2 linked regions of the Ovis aries genome follow. The protein of the gene in region 2 purifies or fractionates together with the protein of the main gene of each other region. This does not show direct contact. Links are inferred from orthologs where the notes say so. Each region holds a gene or a part of one and is shown on either strand. Other genes may lie near its edges.

Region 1 (4,573 bases), on a different chromosome or scaffold from region 2:
GAGTCTCAAGACAGAAAGGGAAGTGACGACATAACGATCCAAGCAAGGAGTTCCCTCAGGTCACAGCTTCCCTTAAAAATCACTTTTTGAGGGCTTGTTGCCACCCTCTTGTCATTCTCATCCAACTGGGTATGGTGGCTAGAGGTGACAGAAAGTGCACTGGGTACACTGCAGCCCATCAGACTTGTTTTCAAACTTATCTCTGTTGCTCTCCAGCCATCTGACCCTGGCTAAGTTACAGAACCTCTCTGGGAACTGGTTTCCTGGTCATTGGTAAAAACGGGGGTAATGCTTTCTGCTCTGACCGTATTGTGGAACTTGGAAAAGGACTTTGCAGGCTGTACCGTGCTGCACAAGGGATCACAGTGTTCCTTTACTCCATCACCTCCTAGGAGATGAGGGCTTCATCTCTATAGGGACCTTAATACAGGAGTACTGAACAATGGGCTTCCCTGGGGGCTCAGTGGTAACGAATCTTCCTGCCAATGCAGGGGATGTGGGTTTGATCACTGGGTCGGGAAGATCCCCCGGAGAAGGAAATGGCAATCCACTCTAGTATTCTTGTCAGGGAAATCCCACACACAGAGGAGCCTGGTGGGCTACAGTCCACGGGGTCATAAAAGAGCTGGACACAACTTAGCGACGACACAACAACAGCGACAACAATAGCTGATTCAGATTCATGCAGCTATTGCTTACCCCCCACACCACCCGTTGCCAGGCCCCCTTGTTGGTTTTGCGATGGAGAAGTAAGAGGACAGGACCTAAAGGATCTAGGGGCTGAGGTATTGGCTTGGTTCCCGTGATGCTGATCGGATCAGCCCAGTTCCGGTTCCCACTTCTTTACTGTGAAGAAGTTGGACAGGATGACCTCGAAAGTCATTCCTAATTCTACACCCAAAATGAGTCATCTCTGTTTCAGGTGACACTGCCCATCAGCAGCACTGATGCCCAGGTTGGGGCAGCTCTGGACATGGGTGGGGTGGCAGGCTGGAGGCTGCCGGAGAGGTCTGGGAGTCGCCCACCAGGCTCTGCCAGGCTCTTCTGTCCATGGCATTCTCTAGGCAATAATACTGGAATGGCTTCCTGTGCCCTCCTCCTCCAGGGGATTTTCCCGACCCAGGGGTTGAACCCATGTCTCTTGGTGGGTTCTTTACCACTAGCGCCACCTGGGAAGCCAAGGAGTCACCAGGGGACTAGCAGGGGAAAGAAGGTGCTAGGGAGGGGCTAGAGGAAAACTCCTTAAAGGACTAGGGTGGGGAAAGGCGGGGCTAGCCCGCCTTCCACATTCTTTTCTGGTGTCTCGGTGGGGGTGAGGAGGAAGCCAGGTTGGCAGCTAGCTGGGTGGCTGCTGGGACTGATGGGAATGGAGGGTCTCCCTAGAGCAGGCCCTGGACTGGGCAAGGCACGTCTATGCTCCACCTTCACTAGGGCAGGTGTTTGGTGTGATGACTTGAACAAGGGCAGGTCCATCTCATACCCTGTCAGCTCCAGGGAGAGGAGCAAATCTTGTGAGACTTTCCCCTGGGGCTCATGGGGAAACAGATCCGAGTGAATAAGTAGTTTTGTTACAAGCCTCCTGTGGCATGCCCCTGCTTCTATAGCCATCTCTCTCTGGAGAGCGGCACAGGGTCTGCCTTTCCAAATGCCTTCCTAATGGCAAAGGGGAAAAACCGTCCACCTGTGAGCGGGGGAAGTGACCCTGGAACTAGGACACCAAGTCCCCTACCCCTTGCCTCTGTCTCTGGGGGGCCCCTTAATCCCCCTAGGGAGGGCTCCGAGGGGCCTCTCCCCTTCCCCGCTGCCCGCCTCAGGCTGCCGTAGGCTGAGAAGCTGCCAGTAGCCGGCAGCGGGAGTCCTGGAACTCCCAGGCCTGCGTCCTCCCCAGGTGACAGTCCGCTCCCGGTGGCCCCACCCGGCTTCTGGGTGGGCTGGCGGGGGAGGAGGTGGGGTGGCCACCTGATCCCTCCCGGAAATGGAGAAACACGGGACTCATCCCACGCGGGCGCCGATAAGCATCGGCCCCAACTCTCCCCAACTGCCTCGGAGTTCTCTCCAGTCCAGATACTTATCGCCCTTTGGGGAAAAAAAAAATCAAGACAAGCTAGTCTTTCAGGTAGTTTCGAGGGAGCTCGGACTTTCTCACGCCGGCTCAGAATCAGTCTGAGAGGTCGGGGATGCAGGAGGGACCCCGACTTTCATTCACGAATGGGGTCCCGGGATGCCGACATCCGCGGTTGGGGCGTCCCTTCCCCTCCCGTGCAAACGTGCCAACAGCTCTTGGCTGAGCGTCCCTGGCGAGTCATTAGTCCCTTTTTGCGTCCGCATCCTTCCCCTCCTCGCGGCCCCGGATACTCGGGGGACCCCGCCCGGGTCACGAGCCGCACAGTCCGCCACAGCCTCCCACGATCAGGGCCTTAAGTCCCCAGCAGAGGGGTGCTCTGATTCTTCCTCCTGCACTCTGAGGGGCTCGGGGTGGGAGCATACACCAACTCCAACCGCAGCTCATCAGGGCTCTTCAGCCGCCCGCCTCGCTTCGGACGCGCCCCGGATCAACCCGCCCGCCCCGCCCGTCTCGACTCGGGCCGAGGAGTTAGCTGGCGGCCGCAGAGCCCTCTCCTCCCCGCCAGGAGTCTTCCCCGCGCAGGCGGGGCGAGTGCCCGGCAAAACCGATCGCGGACTGAGTGCGCCGGGCGGACAGGTGGACCCCGAGAGGCGCGCGCGGCCGTCCACTCACTCACCCAGAAGATGAAGTTAAATCCGAAGAGCAGGTATTTGATGCACTTGGTGCCTCCTTTGACCGGCATGATGCGAGCTAGAGTGGCCTGGGTTGGACAGATGTGAAACGGGGCCGCGTGAGGCCGGGACGGGCGGGACCGGGCTGTGGACTGAGGTGCGCGCGGCTGCTGGCTGGCCTCGGGGCTGCACTTTTAAAAAGTGCCACTCCTCGGGCGCGCGACGCCGCGGTGCGCATGTGCCGGGTCCCGGCCCCGCCCCGCCCACGCCCCGCAGGCCCCGCCCCCGGCCCACCTGCCACGCCCCGCCCAGGTCCGGGGGCCCGCGGCTCGTCCCGCCTCTGTCTCAGTGCTCCCCACCTAGTTGGCCGGACCTGACTTCCCGCCTTGCCTTCCCTTTTCTCCCAACCGTCCTGGAGTCTTTCTAGGCCGTCATCCTTGGCCGATTTCATCCTGGAATTATGTGAAGGCCTCACTCCTCTCGGTTCTCTCCTGGATTCTGCCCCTCCCGAGCCCTCTGCCCTAGGGAGAACTTCCCCGGTGGGTGGTGAGGGCAGAGGCCCCTTACCCAAGGTGGCGCGCAGAATGAGGGCTCTTCTTGCTTGGGGCCCGATTTGAAGAGAAACTGCCCTGTTTCTGTCTCCCTGGGGTGGCTCCTTGTACACTTTAACTCTGAAGCACACTCTTCACTCGGCACATGGAGGCTTGCCTTCCGGATGGGAGGATTCGTAGGGGCTTATGGAAGTAATCCTGAAATACCATCAATGAATAGTGATAGGTCTGAGAGCTGGACAATGTGGGGTTGCTTCCTGGATCTGTGGTTTAGATGCCCCAGAGAAGAAAAAGGCTGTAGCCTGGCTTCTGTTCTTGCCTCTTCTCCTCATCACCCTCCTTCTTGCCCTTGCCACTGCCCACTGTCACATCTTTGAGCTCCTGTGCCAGAGTTCTTAGGGTGTTTCTCCTCTGCTCCAAAATGTCCAGCAAATGACAAATGTTGGTTAGGATGTGGAGAAAAGGGAACCCTCCTCGATTGTTGGGCTGTGCTTAGTCACTCAGTTGTATCCAACTCTTTGCGACCCCATAGACTGCAGCCCACCAGGCGCCTCTGTCCATGGGATTATCCGGGCAAGAATACTGGCATGGGTTGCCATGCTCTCCTCCAGGGGATCTTCCCAACCCTGGGATTGAACCCAGGTGTCCCGCATTGCAGGCAGATTCTTTACCATCTGAGCCACCGGGGAAGCCCCCAAAACTGTTGAGAGGGAATACAAATTGATACAACCATTATGGAAAGCAGTATGGAGGTTCTTTAAAAAATTAAAAATAGAACTACGCAGCAATTCCACTCCTGGGTATTTGTCCAAAGAAAATGAAAACACTATTTGGAAATATATTTGCACCCCTATGTTCATTGTAACATTATTTCTAGCAGCCAAGATATGGAAACAACAGAAGTGTCCATCAATAGATGAATAGATAAAGAAAAAAAAATATATATGATGAAATATTACCCATAAAAAGAAGGAAAACTTGCAACCACATAGATGAACCTAGAGGGTATTTTGCTAAGTGAAATAAATCAGAGAGAGAAAGACAAATGGAATCCAAAAAAAAAAAAAAGTATAACTAACCAGAAACAGATACAGAGATACCAACAGTTGGTTGCCAAGTGGAGGTGGGTAGGGGGAGGAGAGAAATAGGTGAGGGAGATTAGGAGGTACAAACTTTCAGTTGCAAAATAAATGAGTCATGGGTATGAAATGTACAATGTAGGGAATATAGTCAATAATTATGTGATATCTTTGGACAGCGACAGATAATAACTAGACTTACTGTGG
Region 2 (2,816 bases):
GGGCCTAGCCTTGACCCTTTCCAATCCCCAGAAAGCATAAGGGGCACAGGGAGGGTTTATGGCTCCCTCTTGAAGGATTCAGTGGGGAGGCTGGTGAGAGCAGACACCCCGGGCTCTCCGAGGATGTGGAGGGGAGACTGGCAGTGACCTGCTCTTTGGGGGTGGTGCTGGAGACAGAGTGGAGTGCAGAGAGGGCCCATAAAGGAAGAGGAGCAGATAGGAGAGAGTCAGAGGCCCCAGCCAGCTGGGGGCTTGGGGAAGAGGGACCGGAGGCCGCGTTACCCAGCTGGGCCGGGGTGGGGGCTGCCCCCCTCAGTAGTCTTCCGTCAGCCTCTCTGTCTCTGACGGCTGGCTCTTCATCTCCGCCTTCTGCCTCTTAGCTTCATACAGGGCGCGAGTGCGGGCTCGCTTGAAGAAGCCGCACTGCGGAGGGGAGGAGGTGGGGAGGGGCCGTCAGGGGGAGCTGGGGGGTCCTTGCCAGCAGCACTCATGAACTGGGGCTGAGGGCTGGGGAGCCTGGATGCCTGGTTCCCAGCCCCAGCTTGGTGATGTGGCAGGAGCCAGAGCTCCTGGTTCCCCTTTCCGGCTTGCAAGTCCCCCATTAACCCAGGACCAGGAGCTGGAGAGAAAGTGGGGAGGACTTGGGTGATGGGTGGGGTGAGATGGAATGAGATGAAGGGAGAGTTGGTGAGGGTCTGCTGGCAGTGGGTCCCAGAGAGGGAGTCCCAGTGGCGGGCTGGGTGTTCTAACCTTCCACAGCAAGAGGATGATCAGCCCCAGCAGCAGCAGCCCGGCACTCACAGCCACAAGCACCAGCCACAGCTCGATCTCAGCCGGCAGCTCCTCCACCAGGTCAGAGTCAATGTCCACGGAAAACTGGAAGGGGTGAGAAGGGGCTCAGCCATGTGTCCACCCCCTTAGGCCCTGAGCTCATCCTTCCTGTTTCAGCTGGACCCAGAACCCTGCTGTTTGATTTATTGCCTGTAGGGGGCACACAGGGACTGGAAAAGCCCCTGCCAGCCCATTGACAGGCGCAGATTCCTCTGTCCTCTCCTTTCTCCTAGAGGCAGACACCAAGATCTCAGATCTGGGAGGCAGCCTAGAGTCCGGTTTGTGACCCACACATCCAGGCTTGGATACCAGCTCCATCCTTCACAAGCTGTGGGACCTTGGACAAGTAATTTCACCTCTCTGAATCTCCATTTCATGCTCTCTGATAGGATCGTAATGCCTACCTCATAGTATAGTAGGGCAGCCAAAAGTATGGGTTCTGGAGCCAGACTACCTCGGTTCAAGTCCTAACTATGTTATTCACTAGCTGTGTGACCTTGGGCAAGTTACTTAACCTTTCTTTTGTTCACCTGTGAAATAGGGAATATGCTAATAATATCTGTATCATAGGTTGCTGGGAGGATTAAATGTGTTTAATATGAGTAAACTGCTTTGAGAAATACCTGGTATAGAGCAACACTTCCACAAATATTTACAAAAAAATAGAATGCATAGCATATAGTAGCATTTTTTCTTCCCCTACAATGAAGATATATATATATATATATATTATATTACAGGTTTTATAATATAGTTATTGTACATATTTTGCATATATATACACATATATATATTTTAAACTTCCTTTGTGTGTGTTTAATATTTACTTATTTGGCTGTGCTGGGTCTTAATTGCTGCATGTGGGATCTCGTTCCCTGGCCAAGGATCAAATCCGGGCCCCCTGCATTGGGAGTGCAGAGGCCTAGCCACTGGACCACCAGGGAAGCCCCTGCATATATATTTATTTATAGAAAAATATTTTTCTGACTGTACATGATTTCTTAAAAAGTTACTTTTATTATTTCATATTTTTAAATGTATATATTAAACATATATATTTTTTCTTTCACATAAATGGGATCTGTGTGTACTATACACACTCTTCTGTTAACTTTTTCATCATTTTTCGATGTCGGTTAATAAAGATCAACCTAATCTCTTCTGACGACTGCACGTCATTGTAGGAAATGTGCCAGAATTTACTGAACCAATCTCATGCTGAAAGATATTTAGATTGTTTCCAATTTTCTGCCATTATAAACAATGCTTTAAAATATCCCCATGTATTTATGTTTGCAAATTTGTCCTATTAGCTCCTTAATATATTATCATATACAAGATCAAAGGAAATATACAACTAAAAATTTAATAGATATTGACAAATTCATCTTTAAAAAGAATCCATCGATCTATATTCCAATCAATAGCATTTCCTTCTACCTTATCAGAACAAGACAGGATTCTTCTTTTTAATATTTTCTCATATGATATAAAAAAATCTTACTGCTGTTATATTTCACCATACGTACAATGCCTATGTATGCCACCCTTTCTCTTTACATATTAAAAATGTCTATCAATATTCTGTCATATATGCTATAAACTTTTTTTTTTTTCCCTTGGCCAAAGCATTGGAGCTTCCCAGGACTGATCTCCTTTAGAATGGACTGGCTGGATCTCCTTGCAGTCCAAGGGACTCTCAAGAGTCTTCTCCAACACCACAGTTCAAAAGCATCAATTCTTCGGCACTCAGCTTTCTTCACAGTCCAGCTCTCACATCCATACATGACCACAGGAAAAACCATAGCCTTGACTAGACGGACCTTAGTCAGCAAAGTAATGTCTCTGCTTTTGAATATGCTATCTAGGTTTGTCATAACTTTCCTTCCAAGGAGTAAGCGTCTTTTAATTTCTTGGCTGCAGTCACCATTTGCAGTGATTTTGGAGCCCCCAAAATAAAGTCTGACACTGCTTCCACTGTTTCC

The links.
Region 1: the proteins of ITGA3 (region 2) and CD9 purify together in Homo sapiens (affinity purification with western blotting; 3 studies listed by BioGRID and IntAct, with this or other methods). This does not show direct contact. The link is inferred for Ovis aries from reciprocal best matches to the Homo sapiens genes ITGA3 and CD9.

The regions. Positions count from the first base shown.
Region 1 is NC_056056.1:209,986,489-209,991,061, forward strand, and holds the start of CD9 (CD9 antigen), read right to left. Parts: upstream 2,949-4,573; 5' UTR 2,808-2,948; coding exon 2,742-2,807; intron 2,345-2,741; exon of another isoform or gene 1-2,344. UniProt on the Homo sapiens protein: Integral membrane protein associated with integrins, which regulates different processes, such as sperm-egg fusion, platelet activation and aggregation, and cell adhesion.
Region 2 is NC_056064.1:36,300,759-36,303,574, forward strand, and holds part of ITGA3 (integrin alpha-3), read right to left. Parts: intron 877-2,816; coding exon 454-876; 3' UTR 424-453; coding exon of another isoform or gene 313-423; 3' UTR 1-312.